Linked DNA regions of Notamacropus eugenii. The protein of the gene in region 1 binds, or shares a complex with, the protein of each later gene. Links are inferred from orthologs where the notes say so. Each region holds a gene or a part of one and is shown on either strand. Other genes may lie near its edges. The genes, in order: LMAN1 and MCFD2.

The links.
Region 2: the proteins of LMAN1 (region 1) and MCFD2 are in contact, whole or in part, in a cryo-EM structure (PDB 8JP5), measured with the Homo sapiens proteins. The link is inferred for Notamacropus eugenii from reciprocal best matches to the Homo sapiens genes LMAN1 and MCFD2. Residues at the interface, in NP_005561.1 of Homo sapiens: His43, Arg44, Arg45, Phe46, Tyr48, Lys49, Ser51, Phe52, Lys53, Pro55, His56, Gln59, Ser60, Asp61, Val64, Pro65, Phe66, Trp67, Lys96, Phe265, Glu273, Lys279, Glu280, Ile281, Glu285, Lys286, Tyr289, Glu292, Phe293, Phe296; in NP_001164977.1 of Homo sapiens: Val59, Ile60, Asn61, Lys62, Gln70, Glu71, Leu74, His75, Phe77, Lys78, Tyr82, Asp83, Asn86, Asp89, Gly90, Leu91, Glu92, Thr95, Thr98, His99, Val100, Leu111, Glu114, Leu117, Ile118, Ile121, Asp122, Leu125, Asp129, Lys130.

Annotation. Positions count from the first base shown.
Region 1 is NC_092875.1:430,481,472-430,493,358, reverse strand, and holds the start of LMAN1 (protein ERGIC-53), read right to left. Parts: upstream 5,325-11,887; 5' UTR 5,273-5,324; coding exon 5,017-5,272; intron 1-5,016. UniProt on the Homo sapiens protein: Mannose-specific lectin. May recognize sugar residues of glycoproteins, glycolipids, or glycosylphosphatidyl inositol anchors and may be involved in the sorting or recycling of proteins, lipids, or both.
Region 2 is NC_092872.1:661,874,188-661,885,503, forward strand, and holds the start of MCFD2 (multiple coagulation factor deficiency protein 2), read left to right. Parts: upstream 1-6,187; 5' UTR 6,188-6,258; coding exon 6,259-6,403; exon of another isoform or gene 6,404-6,488; intron 6,489-9,340; exon of another isoform or gene 9,341-9,431; intron 9,432-11,258; coding exon 11,259-11,316. UniProt on the Homo sapiens protein: The MCFD2-LMAN1 complex forms a specific cargo receptor for the ER-to-Golgi transport of selected proteins. Plays a role in the secretion of coagulation factors.

The DNA.
Region 1 (11,887 bases):
TGATAAAGAAAAGCAGAATCGCAGCCCTCTCAAAAGAGCTCACATTCTAAAGGAGAAGACAACAGTAAGTAACTATGCATATACAGAACATATACCAAGTAGATGGGAGGTAATTTCAGAAGGAAAATACTAGCAACGAGAAGGAGCTGGAAAGACCTCCCGCCAAAGGTGAGTCTAGCTGAGTCCTGAAGGAAGCCAGGGAAGCCAGAAGACAAAGATAAGGAGAAAGCGCATTCCTGGCATGGGGGGCAGTCCAAAAAAAAAGGTACACAGTTAGGAGACACAGCAGCATGTTCAAAGGACAACACGAAGATCAGTGTCACTGGATCATGCAATATGTGGAGTGGAATGACATGTAAGAAGACTGGAAAGATAGGAAGGGGCCAGGGTGTGAAGGACTTTAAATGCTAAACAGGGCATTTTTCACTTGATCTAGAAGGAACTGAGTCACTGGAGTTTACTGAATAGGGGAGTGACATGGTCATACAAAAACCACCTCGGCAGCTGAATGGAGACTGGAGTGGAGTGGAGAGAAGCTTGAAGCAAAGCGCTCAACCAGAAGGCTATGGCAACAGTCCAGGCATGAGGTGATAACAGCCTGTCCCAAGGCAGTGACTGTTCATGGAGAGACAAAGGGAATTATAAAAACGATGCTGTAAAGGTAGGAATGATAAAACTTGGCAAGAGACTGGATATGTGAAAGTTGTGAAACAAGCCTAGAAAGGTAGGTTAGGACTAGACCATGAGGGATATTACATGTCCAACTACTATATTTCACCCTAGAAGTAACAGGGCCACTGAAGGTTTCTGCGCAGGGGAGTAACATGGTCAGACTTGTGCTTGAACACCTATGATTAAAGAAAGTTACAGTTATATATTTAAAATTCTTAGGGAGAAACAATAAAGAATTATAACTGAAAAGGAAAAGTTTGAAGTTAGGTTCTTTGTACACGATTTATATTTAATAATATCCTTTGAATATCTCAAAAGGACTTTCTATAATACTCCCATAAGAAGGAAAGGAGCATTATTCTTTCTTTTTTCCAAGTTCAAACAGGGAAGTACCGTGCTATATGGAAAAGAACGCTGGGCTGGAGGTCAAGACTCTATTACTGACTATATGACCCTGAACAAGTCATAACCTCTCTGAATCTCAGTTATCTTATCTCTAACATTCATATTACAATAGATGGTCTCTAAGGTTCCTTCTGGCATTAAATTCTGTGATTTGATCTATATGAAGACAGACAACAGTCCAAGCCAAATCTATTACTATGGGGTAAACACAGATGGGAATATTAAGGAAAAGAAAAGTTAAAACAATTGGACAAGGTTGGATATTCTTCATTGTTACCATTACCCTTCACTGAACTCACTGGCACAAAACACCATATCGGGAACTTAATCAAACCAGTTCTGCCTCCTACAGTGGTAGAATATTAAGGGCACAAAGGAAGAGAAATTAAATTAGAGACACATACATTATGGGTTTTTAAAAAAATTTGTAATAAAAGATCTTCAAACTCTACTCATCTAATTTCCCAACTCTTACATTGTACTTAAAGGTGAAAAGAGAGAAAGAAGGGGTTTAGAAATTTAAATGTATATAAAGACTGCAAAGAAGGTAAACCAGATGATCTTTAAAATACCTTTCATTTTAACAGTCTATGTATGTCTACGAATCTATGTACGCTGCGAGTTAATACGGTTGACATTCATAAAAGTGATTCCCAGGATTAGAATTGGGACCAAAATCCAAAATATTCCATACTTACATTTCCCTTCCTCACAGTTTCCCTGTGATTAATGGCATACCTCTGTCTTCTGTCCTCAACCAAGTTCTATATAATGACATCCTCCTTATCTTTCAATACTTAGATCAAATGCCATGCAACCTCCCCTGATTGCCTACTCTCATCCCAATAAGAAATTATCTTTTTTCTTCCTTAGATAGCTTAGACCAAATACACACAGAAAAACAAATACGCACACACCAAAAATCTATGTATACACACACACACAGGATTTGGGGAGGGACTGCAGAGGGTGGTTTGGACCTGTGATTTCATCAGTGTAGAGACTTTCTGGCTTGTCAACTCTTTCCACCAAGGCTTATCAGTCACTGATTTATAACTAATTGTCTTGAAAAACTGATTAGAAAGAAGACTTCAGAGAGGCCTGGAAGGACTTATATGACCTGATGCTGAGTGAAAGGAGCAGAACCAGGAGAACTTTCTGCACAGCAACGACCACAGTGTGCGAGAGTTTTTTCTGGTAGACTTGGAATTTTGTAATAATGCAAGAACTTCTTATAAAAAAAAAAAAATCCCAATGGTGGTTCTCAAGGCAAAATGCCTTCCACACTCAGAGAAAGAAATATGGAAGTCATTCACAAAATGTAGCAGATCATGTTTGTGTATGTGTATGTGTTTGTGTATCATGTTTTGATTTGTTATATGATTTCTTTCATTTATTTTAGTCTGACTACATAGCATGACTATAGTGAAAATATACTCAATAGGAAAGTATATGTAGAACCTATACAGAATTGTATGCAGTCGTGGGGAGGGAGGGGGGTAGTGGGGGGTAGGTGTGGGGGGGATAAAATCTCAATTGTATGGCAGTGATTGTTAAACATTAAAAAATAATTAAAAAAATAAAATAAAATAAAATAAAATTTGGTACCTTAACAAAAAAAAAAAAAGAAAAACTGATTAGAGCAGTGACAAGTGACTTAACCACAGACACAAAGTTTTTGTGAGTTACAGGCAAGATTTGAATGCAGGTCTTTACTACTTCAAGAATGTAGTCATCCGTAACATGCTGTTTCTTCTTAGGACATTCTCTTTTGTATTAGAGTTATTCATAAACATTGTATTATCTGTCTAATAAATCATAAGCTCCACAAGGACAGGAAATTGCTTCACTTAACTGTTGTATCTGCTCCAGTGTTGGCACACATTACAAAACACTTAATGTTTGAGGAATCGCACTGAATCTCACATTTCAGTGTTTACTAAATAAACCCTAATAAAGAAAATCACATCAACTCAACAATCTGTGGCAGGTTAGTTCAGCTGACTACAGGGAAGCTAATGAAGCCAAGGTTATGGATTCTGTATGTGGGCCTGTTACCTAGCTCCATTCAAAAAAACAAATTGTACCCCTAAAGCTGGTCTTTCATCCAACAAATACTGACTGCCTATATGCTGAGCTGAAGGGATACAAAAGGGACAGGCTCTAAAGGAGTTTGTAACGTTAATCCTTAAAATGCAACAGAAGGGTTCTGCCTGCATATATGCTCAACTCAGAAACCAATGCCATGAAGTACTGTATTTTGATCAAAGCATACAAATCTACAAATAAAAGTATATATGTAAGTTACATAGTGTTTAATTATTTACAATTAAGTAATGATAACCAGAGTCCAATCTACAATAAATACTTTGGTGAAAAATCCTTATTTTCAGAGTGGACGGTCAGTTACCAAACAGAATTTACTGCATAAAATGCACGACTGCCACATCAGTAAATAGTGACCCATTCTTACTAAAATCTGAAGAACTTTTCTTTCACATAAGAAAATGCTTTAACAACACACCTTTAGAAATAATGACTCCAAACACATTTAAAATCTTGAGGGTTATAAGATCAAACGAAAAACTGAAGACATAAAGTTAGCATGATTTGGCAGCTGGGTACAGTAGGAAGAACAATGGCTCTGGAGTCAGAGAAACTGGGTTCAAATCCCACCTTAGAAACTGGCTGGGTGGGGAGGGTAAGTTTCCTCATTTGTAGCATGAGGGGGCAGTCCTAGATGGCCTGAGATCCCTAACTATGTCTGAATTTCTAATCCTATGAATTCCTAAGTGTATACAAAACTACAAAAAAGTCTAAAAAGATCCTCTTTTAAAAAATGAGTCCATATAAAGTTCCATGCCTTACAATATAAGAAAGGGCCAAGTTACTCCTTAAAGGAGCCACAGACTGAAATCTGTTCTCTGATATCAAAGAATTTGCTGAATGCCACGAAAACCAACAAATCATCTCAGGTGCCGTGGAGGGCATAAATCATAAGTAAGGTAAGACTTAAATGAAATTCCCTCCTTTATGGACCGTAGTGCTCCAGGAGAGGATGGATCCCTTTTTCCACCCTAATTTTTTATATCACTAACCCCAAGCGGGGTTCTCCCCACAACCAACAAGCCTCTGTGGAGAGAGCAGGTGCCAAGCGGCTACTATGTGCCAAGCACCAGGGATTCGTGCCTTAAAGGAACCCACGGCTACCTTCGAGAAGCTTGTGTTCTAAAAGGAAAAGAGGAGGAACACTTAAAGTACAAAGGACGTACGCGGTAAATACAAAGTAATTCCGAAGTGGCGCCCTGGCGGCCGGAACCGGGACGGGGGGATCAAGTCGGAGGCACAGAGGAGGCCCAAGGGAATGGGAGAGGGTGCACTTGGGGGAGGGCCTGGGCAAAGGCGCGGAGCACTGAACGCTTGTGGACTGAAAGCTCCCAAGTCTGGGTGTGCGCGTCCTGTCCCCCCCCCCACCTCCCCTGCAAGTCCGGGGGCGCCTAAGGACCCCTTCTCGGAACGGTGCCCTTAAATGGGTAAAATAAAGTGAACCATTACAAATTAAGCCAATGGTCCCTCAGGATGATTATTTAATTCTTCTTAAAAGCCACGCCTCGCCCCCCGTTAAGTGAGAAGCCGCCGAGCAGGAGCCCGGCCCCCAGCACAGGGAGCCCGGCCACTGGCAGGGAAAGGGGGCGGGATCCCCCGAGCGATACGTGGCGGGACCGAAGGACTGAAACCTGATGCAAGAAACCAAAGGTTCCCGCGGAGGTGGGGAGGGAGCGGGGAAGCGGCGCCGCAGAGGGCCGGGCTGGGGGGAGGGGGGGGGTGGTGGGGCAGCGGGGAGGGGGGGGAGGGGAGCGACGCCCCCTCCCCCCAGGGGGCTTCCCCGCCGTAGCCGAGCGGGGCCGCGGAGGGGCGGGTTCTGGGGTCCGCACTTACTCCCCGCGTGGGCCCAGAAGGGCACGGTCCCGTCGCTCTGCACCAGATGCGGCCCTTTGAAGCTGTACTTGTACTCGAACCGGCGATGGGGCGGCGGGGCCAGGGAGGCGGCGGAAGCCCCGCCGCCCAGCGCGGGGTCCCCGTCCTCTCCTTGGGCGCTGGAGAAACGGCTCAGAGACAGCAGCAGCGCGCAGACAAGCGGCCCGGCCCCGGCCCCGGCCCCGGCCCGGGGACCCCCGCTCCTGGATCCCGCCATCTTGGATTCTGGGACAAGGCGGCCCGCCGGCAGCTGGGAACGAAACACCGAGCGAACGGCCAACAGGGCGCTCCGTGATTGGTGGAGCCGCCGGCCCCCTCCTCGGGGCCGGGGGAAGCCACGCCCACCGGCACCACCTCCTTCCCGCGGCAGCGTGGCCGGGTACCTGGGGGCGGGGTCCTGTGCGGGGCGTGGTCATAAGGGGCGTGGTCAGGAGAGCGGCCTGCCCCCTCCATGGTGGCAGCTCACCTGATTTGAACTTATGCCCTGCTTACCTGACAAGGAGAAAGAAAGGGAGGGGGAGACAGACAGGAGAGGAGGCGCTGAGTTATCCGCTAGCTGGGTCCCCATTCAGGAGGCTGGGTCTACTCACAGGTTGTTGTGTCCATCCTTCATTGCCAAAGAGGACCATGCCATCAGAGAAATAATGACATGACTTGCACTTGACTTTGTTTTGAGGGAGGGAGGGCTGTGCAGGTCACCAGCCTCACTTCTCCTCCAGAGCCATCCGAATCCAGTGACCAGATATTCATCAGGATGACTGGAGATGACCCAGGGTGCACTGGGAGACCTTGGCCCCTTGAGGCTTATTCAGGTACTAGTTTAGAGTGAGGAACAAATGAGTGGTACAGACAGGTATTATACTAGTTAAGACATCCTCGTAACTAACCAATGGATTTTCAGGCCTGACCGTTACCCTCAAACTAGATTAGCCCGTCTGCTGAGTTAGTTTTCATGGGAAGTGGCCACTGTACCTGTTGGCTTCTTGGAGCCACAGGTGAGAGGTAGGTGACAGGTGAACACCAAAGGTGGATGAGCAGCCCTGAAAAGGGCTCAGCAAGCCCTTACACCAGAGGTGCTAGTCTTTCTTGAACACTCCATACACCCCAAGTTTTGGTAGCTGCCACTGTAAAGAAGAGAAGAGGTTAGAACATAATATTCCAGCACTCAAAAGGTAAAGGAGACTTACAAATAAGAATAACTTATCTGGCAAAACTAAGGATAAAATGAAAGGATAAAAATGAACCTTTAATTAAATAGTATATTTCTAAGCATTCCTGATGAAAGGGCAAGAAATGAGTAGACAGTTTGAAATGGAAATACAGGAACCAAAGAAACATAGATAAATATATCTTTTTAACTGGAAAGGAAAACATGGGGATGAATTGTTTACATGCTAACAGAGGAATAAGAAACTAATGATTTCTCAGAACCATGACAGAAGAACTTTAGATAGTTTTGTTTTGATGGTCTTAGAAGACTAAAATAGGAACATCATGCAAACTTGGGGCAGAATTTGGATGAGTGACTTACAGTAACACTGGGATGGTTAGAATGGTTCATTAATATTCACAACCAGCAGAGGAGGATGTGGATAGATGAAATCAGAAATAGTCTCATGTGGCCTGTCTTGTCTTCACCCATCCCCAGGGGTAACATTCTGTATGGTGATGTGGATAAGTGGTGGGATGTACTCTCTGGTGGATGTCTAAGAGTTCCTGGGTGTTCTTGCTTACAAAAGATTTTCAGACAAGTTCTACTGTAGTAGCCATCTTGTCACTGGGTCAGGAAGCATGGACCAGTAGCAAAAGAGGAGGTTTCTAAAAATTGGCTATTTAAAAATGTTTTTAAATGAGCCCACTCAGGATGAGGAAGGTAGAATTATAAATATGCCACATTAGCAAGCTTTCTGGAGAGTTCCGGGAGCCTATTCTAACTAAAACTGGATGCAGTTTAAGCATTAAGCATACCATAATTGTGTAATGGAGATAGTCCTAGGAGTGGGATCCTCTGATTATTCATGGAGATAAGAAATTATACTTTGGGGGAAAAAAAGAGGAGGAAGGAGAGAGAAGTCACTGTTGTATTAAAGAGGTGCCTATGATGAATAGTTTTTAAATATGGAAAAAGGGATGGATGGTATAGCCATTTCATGAACTCCACTAAACTGGATAAAGGAAGATTGAACACAACTTTACGCTGTGCATGTTGTGTGCATTCACACACACACACACACACACACATCTTAGGATAGAAATTCATTAAACCCCAAAAGGAAATAGGAGATGAATAAAAGGGAACGGTGGAAAAAAGTTTGAGAGGATGGACAGAATGGGCAAGGGAATAGTCATAAACAAAATAAACTTGAATATCAGAAAAAGGGAAAATGAAAGGGAGATTAAAAGAAAAGGAACAAAGAGTAAAAACCCAGAATTAGGGCAGAACAAGGGGAGTAAAAGAGTTGCAAGAGTGGAAACAGACCATTTCATTTATAGAACACATCAGGCAAACTGTTTTGGTTTTTTTTTACCATCTTCTTATTTGTAAAGAGAGAGTTTGTTGGTGTTTGCCTCTCATTCTCAGAGGACCATGACATCAGAAAGCTGTGATGCCATGACCTGCAACTGAATTGGATTTAAGTGAGGCAGGGCTGTGCAAAGTCACCAGCCTCACTTTCTCCTCCAGAGTCATCTAGATCCAGTGGCCAGATATGGATCAGGATGACAGGAATTGGCACCGCCCCCCCCCCCCCGAGGGTGAGAACAAAGAAAGTCTAAGGATAGGATGGAGAGAAATATACAGTTAACAATCATAGTCATAAAAGTCAGTGAGTGAAAAAAGTCAACTCACCCATAAAATAGCATAATGGATTAAAAAACGATCCAGCACTATGTTATTTACCAAAAAAAAATCATTTAAAACATAAAGATTCATATAGAATTATAAGGAAGACTTTTAACAAAATCTATTAATCTGCAACTTAAGTCAAAAAATCAAGAATAATAATTATGAGTTTCACATAAGGTTACATTAAATATAGACATGATAAGAAAAGAAATAAGCAGGGAAACTACATTATGTTTAAAGGTACCATAAATAATGAATTCATATGAATATTTAATATGTATGAACTAAATTGCATATCATCTCAATATTTACAAGAAAAGTTAATCAGATTGGGAGAAGCAATAGGTAGCAAAACTATAATAGTGAGAGATCTCAATGTATGCTTTTCATACTTAAACAAATCTAACCAAAAAAGAAACAAGATTTTATATTTAAGTTTCAATGTTTAATTTTATAATATGTTTCTTTTTCTTTTCTCTATTGTGCATTTAAGTTTTAATATTTAAGTCTAGAATAAAAAAAGAGGTTTAAAAAAGAGAACAAGAACAAAGGTGAGGACCTGAATAGAATTTTTTTAAAATTAGAGATGATAGCAATTAGCAATTATTGTATGGGACTAGAAAGGAATTTATACACTAATCATCTGTACATGGCACCTTTGCAAAAAATGATCATATATTCAGGGCACTCAAAAATGTAGAAAGTCATAAATGTGAAACACACCATTTACTGATCACAATAAAATTTTTATTCAACAAAGGGCCATTGAAGAAAGAATGAAAAACCAGTTGAAGATGAACAATTTTTAAAAACAGGCAGGTTAAGGAACAAACCTTCCTTCTGTTGATTACCTCTGATTTATCCTGATAAATTTGTTTATACATTGTTTTCATATTGTCTCCCCCATTATGCTGTGAGCTCTATGAGAGCACAGATTGCTTTTTGTCTTTTTGTACACCCTCAATGCTTATTGCAGTGCCCTGTATTGAGTAGGAGCTTAATAAATGCTTGTTGAATGACTGACAATAGATAATTTCTTCACAGAAAGCTATACTAATCAGATAATGAAACTTATGGGATGAAGCTAAAATAGTTCTATGGGAAAAATTTTTGTTTCTAAATGCTTTTATAGAAAGAAATAACAAGTAGAGTATGAAACTAAAACACAAAGAACAGCAAATATCTCCACTAAGCAACAAACTAAAAATTCTGAAAAGAAGAGGTTAATAAAAACTGAAAGCAAAAACAATATCATACAACATATTGATAAATAAAACGAGGAGCTTTAAAAAAAGCAAATGAAATAAAATCTACCAGTTTGACTTTAATAGGAGAGAGGAAAACAAAATTGTTCTTATCAAGAATGAAAAAGGAGAATTCAGAGTAATTGAAAAAGGTATGAAGCAAATTATCAGAAACAATTTTGTCCAATTACATAGTAGTAAACTGATAACTTAGAGAAAATGGATGAATACTTACAAGAATATAAAATACTCAGATTCACAAAATAATAGAGTATTTGAATAATCCAGTATCAGAAAAAGAAATGGAATAAGTCAAAAATGAATTCCGTTTAAAAAAAACAAAACTCTGGGACTAGATGGATTTACAAGTGAATTCTATCAAACATTAAAAGAAAAATTAATTCTATTATTACATAATCTAATTGCAATAACAGGAAAGGAAAGCACCCTTCTGATATTTTTTCTATGATGTAAACATGGTCTTGATGCCTAAATTAGGGAAAGACAAAACAGAAAAAGAAAACTATTGGCCAATATCCCTAATGAACGTTAATGCAAAATTTCTAAATAAAATATTTGCAAATAGGCTAATAGCAACATATTCAAAAGATTGTACATTCTGACCAGATTCAAAAGATACCAGGAATGTAGATTTGTTTCAAAACAAGGAAGATTATAAATATATCACATAACGTAAATCATAAAAAAACCACATGATTAAATCAATAAATTCGGGAAAGGCTGTTAACAAAATTGAACACCTATTTATCTTTTTTAAACTTTTGAAGTTTTAATGATATTTTTATTTTTTCCAATTACATGTAAAAATAATTTTTAATGTTCTTTTTCATAATTTGAATTTCAGATTATCTCTTTCCATCCATCCTTTTCCCCCTCCCTACACTTAGATGATAAGCAATATAATACACATTATACATATACAAAGATTTTCATATTGGTCATGTTGTGAATGTAGACAGAGATGAAAAAACATTTTAAAAAGTTAAAAAATAGTGCGCTTTAATATGCATTCAGACTTCGTCATTTCATTAGAAGTGGATAGAATTTTTCACTATGGAATTGGAATTATCTTGGATCACAGTATCATTGAGAGTAGCTGAGTCATTCATAATCGAACATCATACTGGATTGGTGTTACTATGTACAATGTTCTGTTTACTTCACTTTGCATCGATTCATGTAAGTCATTCCAGGTTTTTCTGAAAGTCTCCTGTTCATCATTTCTTATAGCACAGTAGTATTCCATGACAGCTTGTTCAGTCATTTCCTAATTGATGGGCATCTCCTCAATTTCTAATTCTTTGCCACCACAAAATGAACAGCTACAAATATTTTTGTACAAATAGGTTCTTTTCCTTTCTTTTTTTTAACTCTGGGTCAAAGGGTAAGCAGTTTTGTAGCTCTTTGGGCAGAGTTCCAAACTGCTTTCCAGAATGATTGGATCAGTTCACAACTGTACCATGAGTGCTTTAGTGTCCCAAATTTCCCACATCCTCTCCAACATTTATCATCTTCCTTTTTTGTCATTTTGGCCAATCTGGTAGGTGTGAGGTGGTAACTCAGAGTTGTTGTAATTTGCATTTTTCTAATCAATAGTGATTTAGAGCATTTTTTATATGACTATAAACAGTTTTAATTTCTTTGTCTAAAATCTACCTGTCATCTCCTTTGTCTACTTATCAATTGGGAATGATTTGTATTCTTATAAATTTAACTCAGTTCTTTATATATTTGAGAAGTGAGGGCTTTATCAGAGAAACTTGCTGTAAAAATTTCCTTTCCCCACCCTCAGTTTTCTGCTTTCCTTTTAATCTTGGTTGCATTGGTTTTGTTTGTGCAAAAACCTTTTTAATTTAGTGTAATCAAAATTATTCATTTTACATCCTATAATGTTCTCTACATCTTGTTTGGTCATAAATTCCTCCATAGATCTGACAAATAAACTATTCCATGCCTCCTTAATTTGTTTATGATGTCCTCCTTTATATCTAAATTATGTACATATTTTGACCTTGTTTTGATATGCAGTGTGAGATGTTGGTCTATTCCTAGTTTCTGCTCAACTGTTTTCTAGTTTTCCCAAGAGTTGTTGTCAAATAGTAAGTTCTTGTCCCAAAAGCTTGGATTTTTGGATTTCTCAATCACTATTTTTCAAACACTAGATTACTATGGTCATTAGGTACTGTGTAATGTGTGTCTAATCTATTCCACAGATCCACCACTCTATTTCTTACTTAGTGCCAGATTGTTTTGATGATTACCATTTTATAATATAGTTTGAGATCTGGTGTGGCTAGGCTACCTTCTTTCACATTTTTTTTTAATTCCCTTGGTATTTGTGAGTTTTTGTTCTTCTGAATAAAATTTTCTAGCTCTACAAGATATTTTTGATAGTTTGATTGGTATGGCATGGAACAAATTAATATAGGTGGAATTATCATTTTTATTATATTTGCTAAGCCTACTCAATGAGCAATTGATATTTTTCAAGTTGTTCAGATCTGACTTATTTTGTGTATATGAAAAGTGTTTTACAATTGTATTCATCATATAGTTCATGAGTTTGTCTTGCCAGATAGCATTTTACATTGTCTAGCTTTATTTTAAATGTAACCTATCTCTTGCTGTACTTCATTAGAAATATATATATATGTTAATGTTGATCATCTATGTGGTTATATTTTATACCCTGAAACTTTGTTAAAGTTGTTAATTATTTGTA
Region 2 (11,316 bases), on another chromosome or scaffold:
CTTTGACATCTGACCACAGTGCCTACTTTAGCTGTCAGTATGGCCACTGGAACAAATTGTTTTAATCTGCACATTCTTCCAAGGGAAGTCTTCACATGCTTGGGGTAGCTACCCTACTAATTCACTGATGGGTTTGTGTCCAGTTGGTTACCCTCAACCTGGTTTAGCCTGTCTGCTGAGATGGCTTACCAGGGTGTGGCCACTGGGTATGCAATAACTTCTTGGAGGTGAGGGAGAGAGTTGAATGTCAAATAGATACCAAAGGTGAATGAGCAACCCTGAAGAGGGTTTGGCAACCTCTCACACGGAAGGTACTAATCATCCTTGAATACCCATGGACCCTAGCAATCAGACATATGTGAATGCAAAGTTAAAAAAACCAAACCAAACCAAACCCAACCCAGAAGAGTAGAGGTGCCTTGTCTGAGGCAGGTAGATGATCCAGTGAATAACGCACTGACCTTGGAGTCAGAAAGATCTGAGTTCAAATGTGGCCCAAGACACTTACTAGCTGTGACCTTTTAAGCAAGTCATTACACTTCTGTGAGAATCAGTTTCCTCAACTTTAACAAGGAGATAGTACCTACTAGTAATAGCACCTAATAGTACCTACTTCCTTGGGTTGTTGTGAGGATAAAATAAAATAATATTTGTAAAAGGGCTTAGCATAATGCCTCACATAGGAGCCTAAAAAATGCTTGTTCCTTCCCACACCCACAATGTCTTTGCTCCTACGGGCAATACCTCCCCTCAGAATGTCCTTTCCCATCTGATCTCCTACCAACACTTCAAGTCATAACTTGCATCCCATTTCCTAATGAAACTTCCCTGCTGACCTCAACCCACACTTTTCTCCTCTGAACCTCTATGTCAAAAAACAAGCATGTATTAAGATCTCCCCATGTGCCAGGGTGTCTGCCCTATCCATTTGGTATTCATCACAGAAATAACTTAAGAATCGGAAGGAAATTTAGAGATTATCTAGTTCATTTAGCAGATAAGGACACTGAGGAGAAGAGAAGTAAAGTCATTTGTCTGGGGTCACACAGCTGAGATCAGAATGACTGGTACGAAATTCTAGCCAATACACTCTGTTATCTCAGGCTGCCCCTCTTTATCTTTTTAAAAGTTATGCTTCTTATTGTTTATAATAATACTAATATCATTGATATAGCACTTTAAAGTTTACAGGGTGCATTACATATATTAATTCATTTTATCCTTGCAATAATAGCCCAGTGAAAGAGTTGCTTTTATTATTCTTATTTTACAAATGAAGAAACTGAGATACAAAGGTGTCTACATGCTGATATGTGTCTGAGGCAGGATTTGAACTCGGATTTTCCTGACTTCAAGTCCTGAACTCTGTCCACTGCATCATCTAGCTGTTCTCTATTAATGTTATTTTTCAAGAAACAAATATTTTAAAAAATTAATCTGTCCTTCCCATTATTTCCTTTCCTCCATTGAACAAACAAAAAAAGAAACCACTGAAAAACGAATCCCTCAAAACACATTGACACAGTCCAACAAAAAAAGGCAAGTCAAAAAGCATTTATTAAGTACTTGTGATGTGCTATAGGGCAGCTAGGTGGCACAGAGGAAGACTCATCTTCTTGAATTCAAATCTGGCATCAGACACTTACTGGCTGTATGCTCATAGAAAAGTCACTAAATCCTGTTTGCCTCAGTTTCCTCATTTGTAAATGAACTGGAGAAGGAAACAGAAAACCATTCCAATATCTCTGCCAAGAAAACCCCAAATGGGGTCCTGAAGAGTCTGATGCAACTGACCAATAGCAACAGCTATTCATATGTTTCATAGATCTTTATATCTAGCCCCTGTCTTTCTCCTGAGCTCCAGTTATATATCACCAATCTCCTACTAGATATTCCAAACTGGAGACTCAGATATATCCCAATACTGGAAACTCAATATATCCCAAACAGAACTCATTATCTCTCTTCCCAAATTCACTTTTCTTCCAAAATTTCACCAAAATGCCATCCATTCTTACAGTCTTCCATATTTGCAGCCTTGGCACTATCCTTGTCTCTTCACTCTTCCTCACCCCATATATCTAATTGGTTGCCAAATCTTGCCATTTTTACCTTCATAATCTCTTTAGAATCTGAACTCTTCTTTCCATTCACACAGCCACCACCTTAGGTTACTTAGATTATTGCAACACACTCCTTTAATTGGTCTCCTTGCCACAAACCTTGTCCCTCTTCCAGACAACAGGAGAAAAAAGTGATTTTCCTTAAGTGCATGTAATCACCCTCCTCAATGAACTTCAGTGGCTATGGACTTTAAAATACAAATTTTTTTATTTGTCTATTAAAGTCATTCACAACCTGGCTTCCAATCTATTCCTCAAGCCTCATTGAACATTACTGTCCCCTCCCACACTAAAGTCCAGCCAGCCACACTAGCCTTCTCTCTCTGTTCCTTGTTGTTCCTCACACTCTTATCTCCTTTCTCCTTGCTTTTAACCAGCCATCCCCAATGCCTGAAATGGATTCCTTCCTGTTTCATTCACAGAATCCTTCTCTTGAAGTCACAACTGAAGCACCAGCTTCTTTAGGAAGCTGAACCACTCCTCAGCTCCTGGCAACTTCCCTTCCAAAGCACCTTGAATTTAACTAGCTTATATTTATTTTCTTTATTTTTTAATATAAATATTTACTCATTCAGAGGAGAGATTTAATCTTTTGTTTTCCTAGCGCTTAGAACAGCATCTGTCACAAGGAGGTGCTTAATATATGCTTGTTGATTAATAATTGTCCATTTTATGATTTATATATGTATACACACATACACGTACACAAAACAGCTTTGCCTCATAGTATTATAAATTGTGTGCCTGTAAGTGTCAAACTGTCTTAGTATGTTAGGTGTCCAAGCCATAATTAGATCAAGGGTAACTGGAATTTTTCCCCAAGGGACTGAATTTAAGAGTATGCTGAAAGCATCCATGTTTATTTGGCAGGGGTTGGCAAACTATGACCCATGGGCCAGAGTCTGCTATCTCTGTAGGACACAAGGCACAAACTATCTGAGGTTTCTCTGGTGGGTTCCATTAGCCAAAAGAGAAAGTTCATTTAGTCTGACTCCAAGTCATACTGATGTACTTTTTGTCATGAAGAAGCCTGTAGAAGAAATAGTAAATATTTTAGGGCACTTACATATTAGCTAACTGATTAACTGAAGATCTCAATCTTCTTAGTAGAATGCCAAGTGTGAATCTGAGTAGAGGGAGGTTAGAAGCTTAAGGAGATTAGGGGACTTTGGAGAATCAATATGGAATGAAGAAAAGGATTGCTCAACTGAAGTTGAGATGAATTTCCAGTAAGCTAATCCTACACAGGTCAACATCTGTTTATATAGACTTTGTCTCAGGGTCACTGAAAATAGTTTGGGCTTTTTGGGAAGAACCCCTTGACTGACCTTCACTATGCATTTTGTATGTTTATCAAAATGATATTGAATCAAATCACCAAATAGTTGTTAAGTGCCTACTCTGTACAATTAATTATTAAGCATTTACTAACGCTAGACCCTGAGGATATGAAGACAAAAATGGAATCATCCTTGTCCTCAAGGTTTACAATTCTATCAATGGATACCTCTGTGATTGATTCTGTGGGGGTTACAAAGACAAATAAAACAGTCTCTGCCTTCAAAAAACCCCTTAATAGGGAAAGAAACTTTTGTCCAAGAAGCTTTTGTTCAAGCTGGAAGAGACATTAAAATCAATCTAGTCCATTACACCCCTCATTTTACAGATAAGGAAACAAAGGCCTGTATTGGGTACAGGTGGAAGTGATTTGTCCATGGTTATTCAGGTTTTAAATAAAAAAGTGGGATTCAAGCCCATATCATCTAGACTCTAGATCTAGTCCTTTACTGCAACACTCTGCAGAAGTTGTTGTTCAGCCTTCATTTTCAGAGAGGACCAATGACATCATAAGACCGATGACTTGCTCATGAATTAGATTTAAGTGAAGCAGAGCTGCACACAGTTGTTGGCCTCATTCTCTCTTCCAGAGTCCTAAATGTGCAGAGGCAGGACAAAAGTCAAGGCGACTGACGATGGCCTGGGAATGCCATGGTGAGCTGGGTGTCTTCAATATCTGACCAGGCTCTGAGCACTTACACAGTGTCTGCTTTAGCCTTCTTCATGGATGTCACCCAACCGTTCTGCAGGAAAAAGTCATCACTGAAGAAATTAGTAGGAAGGAGAAATTATTTTAGCCTGAGGATGCCACAGAAAGCTTTCTGGAAGAGGTAAGTTTGAAGCAGGGCCTTGAAGGATGGGCAGTGTGTGTATGTGTGTGTATGTGTGTGTATGTGTGTATGTGTGTGTGTGTGTGTGTGTGTGTGTTGGGGCAGGGTATGGAAATCTAGGTTGCAGGAATGGAGTGGAGGGTGAAAGTAGACCTCCTCCTCGTCTTCTTCCATAACTCTGGATCCTTATTTTTGGTGTTTTCTTCACAAGCCACTAAATGCACTAAACCCCCAAAATTTATAGCAGCACTTTTTGGAGTAGTTAGAGAACTGGAAACAAAGTAGTGTCTATTGATTGGGAATGGACAAGCAAATTATGGTATGTGAATGTAATAGCAGATTACTGTCCTGTAGAAAAAAATAGATATGATGAATAAAGGAAAATGTGGCAAGACTTACATGAACTGAAGCAGTGGGGAGTAGGCAAAGTCAAGAAAACAATATACACAGTTAATACAACATTGTAAAGGGAATAAGGGATTGAATGGTCTATGGAATACAAGGTCCCATTGTGCTAATTGTTTTTTTAATCCAATTTTATTTTGTATTCAGTTGTGAATTTTTTCCTTCCCTTTTCCTCTCTTCCACCTGTCCAGAAATCAAGAAAAACAAAACCCATTATAAATATGTCCAGGCATGAAAAACAAATCTCTGCATTTAGTTATGTCCACAAAAAAAAAAAGGAAGGAAAAAAATAAGCTTCCATTTGTCCACTGAATCCATCAACTCTGTCTGGATGTGGATAGTATATTTCATCATGAGTTCTTTGGAATTTTGGTTAGTGTGTAGGTTGGGCAGCTAGGTGGTGCAGTGGATAGAGCACCATGCAGGAGTCAGGAGGACCTGAGTTCAAATCTCACCTCAGACACTTGACACTCACTAGCTGTGTGACCTTGGGCAAGTCACTTAACCCCAATTGCCTCATCCTGGGTCATCTCCAGTCATCCTGATGAATGTCTGGTCACTGGAATCAGCTGGCTCTGGAGGAAAAGTGAGGCTGGTGACCTGCACAGCCCTCCCTCACTCAGAACAAAGTCCAGGGCAAGTCATGTCATCATTTCTCTGAAGGCCTGGTCTCCTTCAGCAAGGAAGGACCAACACACACAAGTCTTTCCCAGTTGATCATTAGTTCCTACACGGCTTTCCAGGTTTTTCTGAAGCCATTTCCTCAGTCGCTTCTTACAGAACAATCATACACCATAATTTGTTGAGCCAGTCCCCAGCAGATGGGCACCCCTTCACTTCCCAATTCTTTGCCCCCCCAAATCTGCTATGAATATTTATATACGTAGGGTCCTTTCCCTCTTTTTTTAAATGTATGCTCTTTGGAGCATACGCCCAGCGGCACAGCTGAGCCAAAGGCATGCACCCTGAACACACCTCCGGGCACTGTTCCATCTGCTTTCCAGAACGGTTGGACCGGTTCACCGTTCCACCAGCGGGGCATTCCAGGACTCTTTTCCCACGGCCCCTCCAGCATGGGTCATTTTCCTCTTTCGACAGCTTTGACAACCTGACGGATGTAGCGTGGTCCCTCAGCGTTATTTTAATTTGCGTTTCTCTAGCTTTCTCAATTTAGAGCCTTTTTTTTCATATGGCTGTCGAAAACATTGAATATATCTTCACGATGTCTATAGAGGCCCAGGTTTGAGATTCCCTCAGATGCAGTTTTGAGGTCGGCCACTGGGGGGCCCCCCGCAGGCCAGGCCTTTGGCGTGTTTGGTCGCTAGGCAACTAGGCGCCCTCTCCCCCTCCCCCCTCCTCCCTCCCCGTCTCTCTCTATGGGGGAGGGGAGTCAGGGGGCGGAGCCTCACCTCGGGGGCGGGGTCTGGGGGGCAGACGCGGAAGGTTCCGCCCCTCCGCCACAGCCCGATTACACGTGGACTGCTCTGAGAGACGCCACCAGCTGGGCTCCGGGAAGTGAGAAGGCGGGGCGGAGAGGTGTCCAATGGGCGAGCGGTAACGGAATGCGCATGCGCCGGAAAAGAGTTCCCGAAGGGGAGGAGCGAGCGAGGGAAGAAAACGGGAACGCGGGACCGGGACTCCTGAGGAGCTGTCTGGTGAGCTCGGCGTTCAGGGCTGCCGGACCCCGGCTCACTGACTGCGGCCTGGGTGAGTTGAGGGGGGCCGGGTTCTGGGGCTCCGGGCTCCCCAACTCTGGCCTGGAGGCGGCTTCCGGCGGGGCAGCCCAGCCTAGGTAACGGGACCGAGATTAACGGAGCCGGGGGCGGAGAGGGGGGCTCCCGAGGGGTTCTGGGAAGATCCAGCCCTGGCATCCGGTGAACCGGGCCGAGACACGGCACTGCGGAGACTGGGAGGCGGCCCGGCAGGGAGGGGTCTGAGGACCCTGGGAGCGAAAGAGAGGCCTGGGGACCTGGTGACCAGGGGAGCAGGGGGGAGGGAGATGGGGAGTGGGGAGCAGGACCGGGCTCTGGGGTCTTGGGGAGGGCCAGGGGTACCTGGGGAGCAGGGTCTGGAGAGCCGGGGGGAGGGAGATGGGGAGTGGGGAGCAGGACCGGGCTCTGGGGACTTGGGGAGGGCCAGGGGGACCTGGGGAGCAGGGTCTGGAGAGCCGGGGGGAGGGAGATGGGGAGTGGGGAGCAGGACCGGGCTCTGGGGACTTGGGGAGGGCCAGGGGGACCTGGGGAGCAGGGTCTGGAGAGCCGGGGGGAGGGAGATGGGGAGTGGGGAGCAGGACCGGGCTCTGGGGACTTGGGGAGGGCCAGGGGGACCTGGGGAGCAGGGTCTGGAGAGCCGGGGGGAGGGAGATGGGGAGTGGGGATCAGGACCTCTGGGGTCTTGGGGAGGGCCAGGGGGACCTGCTCGGGGTCTGGATGGGCAGAGGTCCCAGAGCACGCTGAGCTGGTGGGATCCAGAGTGCAGGGGGCCCTGGGCGCTGGGCTGTGAAGCGAAGGGTCCCCAAAGGGCCGCAGCCTGTGCCTCCCTGGCACCCCAGGCAGCAGCTGCATCTTGTTCCCTGCCTGGAGCCGGACGGGCACAGCTGCAGCGTCTGACCTCCTCCCCTGCCCTGGTGCTTCAGGGCTCTGTCCAGGGTCTTGGCTGGGACCCTTACAAAGGTCAGAATCAGGGCTGTTTCCCGAGGTCCCTGCTTGTAAAACCTCCTTTCGAGGGGAGCAGTCAGCACAGGCTACCTGCCACTCACCAAGCATATGCTTCCTCTCCCATTCCAGCCGAGAGCAGAGGTGTTGTGAAATAGTATGGTAGATGTGGAGTCAGCCAGACCCAGGTCAAACCCCCCCCCCCCCCCCCCCCCCCGACCTTGAACACATACACTGCTGTGGTTCCCTGGGCCAGTCAGTTATCTTCTTTGTTGCCTCAGTCTCCCCTTCTGTAAAACGAGGGGATTGGGCTCTGTGGTGTTCTAGGTCCTTTCTGACTCTTAAGGGTGTGATACTGCTATCTCCACGGGCAAAATTGTGGATTGACTAACTTGCCTTTGTCACTTGCTTTGGGTAGAGGTTATCTGGGGCACAATGTTCATGGCATCAGTAAGGCACTCCAGGAGTGTTGTTTTTACTTCCAGCTGCTAACAGATCATGGTCATTTTGGGGAGGTAAGAGGGTAAGCAAATACTTTCAAATTCTAACCTGACTAATGATAACTTGGTTGGTAAGAGAAGATCTCAAAGTCCCTTCTGACACTGTGTTCTTCAGGAATGACAAAGCTGCCCAAAGGATCACTGGATCCTAGAATTCAAGCTGTAAGAGAACCACAGAGGGAGTCTAGTCCCATCCTCTCATTTTACAGATGAAAAAAATAGGTCTAGTTAAGCTCAGTGACTTTTCCAAGGTCACACAGGTTGTACAGGGCGGTATTAGGAACTGAACTCAAGTCATTTGACTCCAAATCCAGCACCACTTGGGAGGTTTTGAGATCCTTCTCTGGTTCAGGAATACACATCCTGAAGCCCATCAGATTCAGTTCACTCTGCTCAAATGCTAAGCCCTTGGTCTGGCTTGTTGATGATGCCTCGCTCTTGAGGCAGAGGAGGGTTGCTTCTTTTTTTAAGTGAGTGTTTTGAACTTGGATTGGATCATAAGATGCTGGCCCTCAAATTGTCATACCCAAGCCAGGGCATGATTTGGGGTGTTCTGTTTTCTCCTCTGTTCAGTTGGTTTGTTCCTTCTTGTTCCTGAGAGTTAGAAACATATGGTAATCACTGCTTTCAGAGGGAGCTAAGCAAGGTGCTGTGAGGGGGATTGAGCCAAATACGCCAAATGTTATTTGTGGCATTTTTGGATTTGACAGCGAATGCACAAATTGGGAATGTCTGGGAAGACCTGGCATTCCTACCCCTTCTCACATTTCTCAGAAATATAAGGCCTGAATAGCAACTCCTAGTAGTGATTTAAGTTCTAACAATGTAGCAGAGGCACATTCACTGCTGAGATTTGACTCTTTCAAAGTTAGAATCTGACTGTTTTCCACTTTTTTTGTTGCTGTTGCTGTTTATTTGTTTCAGTCACATCCAACTCTTTGTGACCCCATTTGGGGTTTTCTTGGCAAAGATATTTGAGTGAGTCGCCATTTCTTTCTCTGGCTCATTTTACAGATGAGGTAACTAAGCCACACAGGATTAAGTGACTTGCTCAGGGTCACACAACTGCTAGGTGTCTGAAGGCTGCATTTGAACTCAGGTCTTCCCTGACTCCAAGCTTAGCAATCTATCCACTGTGCCACCTAGTTGCCCTACTTTTTTGTTCTAATAAGATGGCAGTTAACATGAAAACTTATTCCACATGGTACAGAACAAATTTCATCATGAAGAGTATCTCTGTGTTCAGTGAGACTCCTGGGGGGGTGGAGGTGTGTATGTGTATGTGTATGTGTTGAATCTTCTACACCAATACTTTGAGGCATATCTGTCAGAATGGGTGCCTGCCTTTCTGGGGAGTGCTGGGGTAGTGTTGCCAAGGATGATGCCATCCCTCCAATTTTCCTGCCTCTTTTTAATTGGTGACGTTATTTTAACATTAGTTATCTCCTTGAACGTTTCTTCCACTCTACATTGAAACTTCCTTATAACAGAGAAAACCAGTTCTGCAGAATAAACTGACAAAGCATGAAATCTGAGAGTACACACAGCCTCCTGTACCCCCACACTCTACTCCCCAGTCAGGTGAGGGATAAGTGCTTTTCATCTGTTCTTGGGAATCAGGATTGTTCCACAGGCCGTTTTTAGACAAAGAAACCAAAGCTATCTATAGTCATGAAAAAATGCTCAGAATCACTATTGGTCAGAGAAATTCAAATTAAAACAACAATAAGTTGTTTTACCAGAGCAGCTAATATGACACAAAAGGAAAATATTGAATGTTGGAGGGGATGTGAGAAAACTGGGACACTAATGCACTGTTGGTAGAGTTGTGAACTGATCCAACCATTCTGGAGAGCAATTTGGAACTATGCCCATGATATCACTGCTAAGTTTGTATCCCAAAGACATCCCCAAAAAGGGAAATGCACCTGTTTGTACAAAAATATTTACAGCAGCTCTATTTGTGATGCCTAAGAATTGGAAATGGCAAGCATGGTGATTTCGGAAAAACCTGCAAAGACTTACATGAACTGATGCATAGTGAAGTGTATTCAACAGTATAATAATATTGTTGAATGAAGAACTGTGAATGACTTAGCTGGTCTCAGCAACGCAGTGATCCAAGACAGTCCCAAAGGATTAATGATGAAGCATACTATCCGCCTCCAGAGAAAGAAGTGATACTGATTGAATACAGACTGAAGCATGCTATTTTTCACTTTCTTTCATTTTTTTTCTTTTATTCAAGTCTTCTTGTACAAAATGGCTAATATGGAAATGTTCTACATAATTGCAAAAAAAAAAAATTAGAGTTTTGGGGGGGACTGTTCCATTGTAATTAACTGATGTTAAGTCACCCTTTAGTCTTATTTTCACCTGTGCTGTTGAAGTTGTGGTAAACGTTCTCTTGGTTCAGCTTTCTTTGTGTCTGTCACTTCATACTAGTCTTTCCACATTCATCTGAATTCCATGTTTTTGCTGTTTGCCACATCTAGCTTAAGAATCTTCTACTGTTTACATGTCATTCTCCAGTCACTTTGTTGCCAGCTTTTTGCTACCACAGAGTGTTCTTTTGAATATTGTCTTATCCCTAGGACTTTCCTCGTTACTTACCCCCTTAGGTCATATACCCAATACCACTCAAACTATCTTGTGAGGATGGAGATAGGGATGGAGCAGGCAGAGGACAGTGACCTTTGGATCGTAGCTGTTCTTTGCAAAAGATGAGGAGAACAAATGTCTCCTGTGCCCCAGATGCCCCTGCCCTTGCCGTTGCTGAGTTTGGGGTGATGGGGAGATGGGGAGCATTTTAAGGCTTCAGCCCATGCTGTAACTCAAAGGACAGTCTGGATCAGGGAGTCTCGGCAGGACCTGTGGTCCCCCTCTGGAAAGTGATCCTCCATCTCCCCAGTTATTGCATCCATTGGGCCTTTGTACCTCATGCTGTTTGCCCACTTTGATTGTTTATGCACCTGCCACCTCCAGACCAGATGGTTGACTCATTGAAGGCCTGGGACTTTTTGCCTTTAATTGTTGCAGATTGGAACTTCTTGGCAACTCAGACTGTGCCAAGTCTCTGGGCTCCTCCATCTCCATAGCACCTAATCGTTTCACATCTGTTGTGCCATTCATTAGATCATCTCAGTAGCTGGATGAGACAGGTAGACCAGGGCTTGTTAGACCCTGTTTGACAGATAAATAGTCTAAAGTCACACCTTGAGCTGGGGACAGACCTAGGACTCTTTCTTGTAGCACTGCTCCCCTCCTTCCCCCTTTCCCTCCCAATGTCAGCGGATCAGTTGCCTCTTTGAATTAGCAGGAATGATGACTGGATCTGAAATCCTTATGGGAATCTTAGGTGTAATTCATGCCTTTCCTATCACCCTCTGTGTTTCCTCCTCTTATTAGACATGTATTTAAGCTTGTGGAAGATGCTTAGAGCCACTCTCCTGTGCTGCCTCCTGGG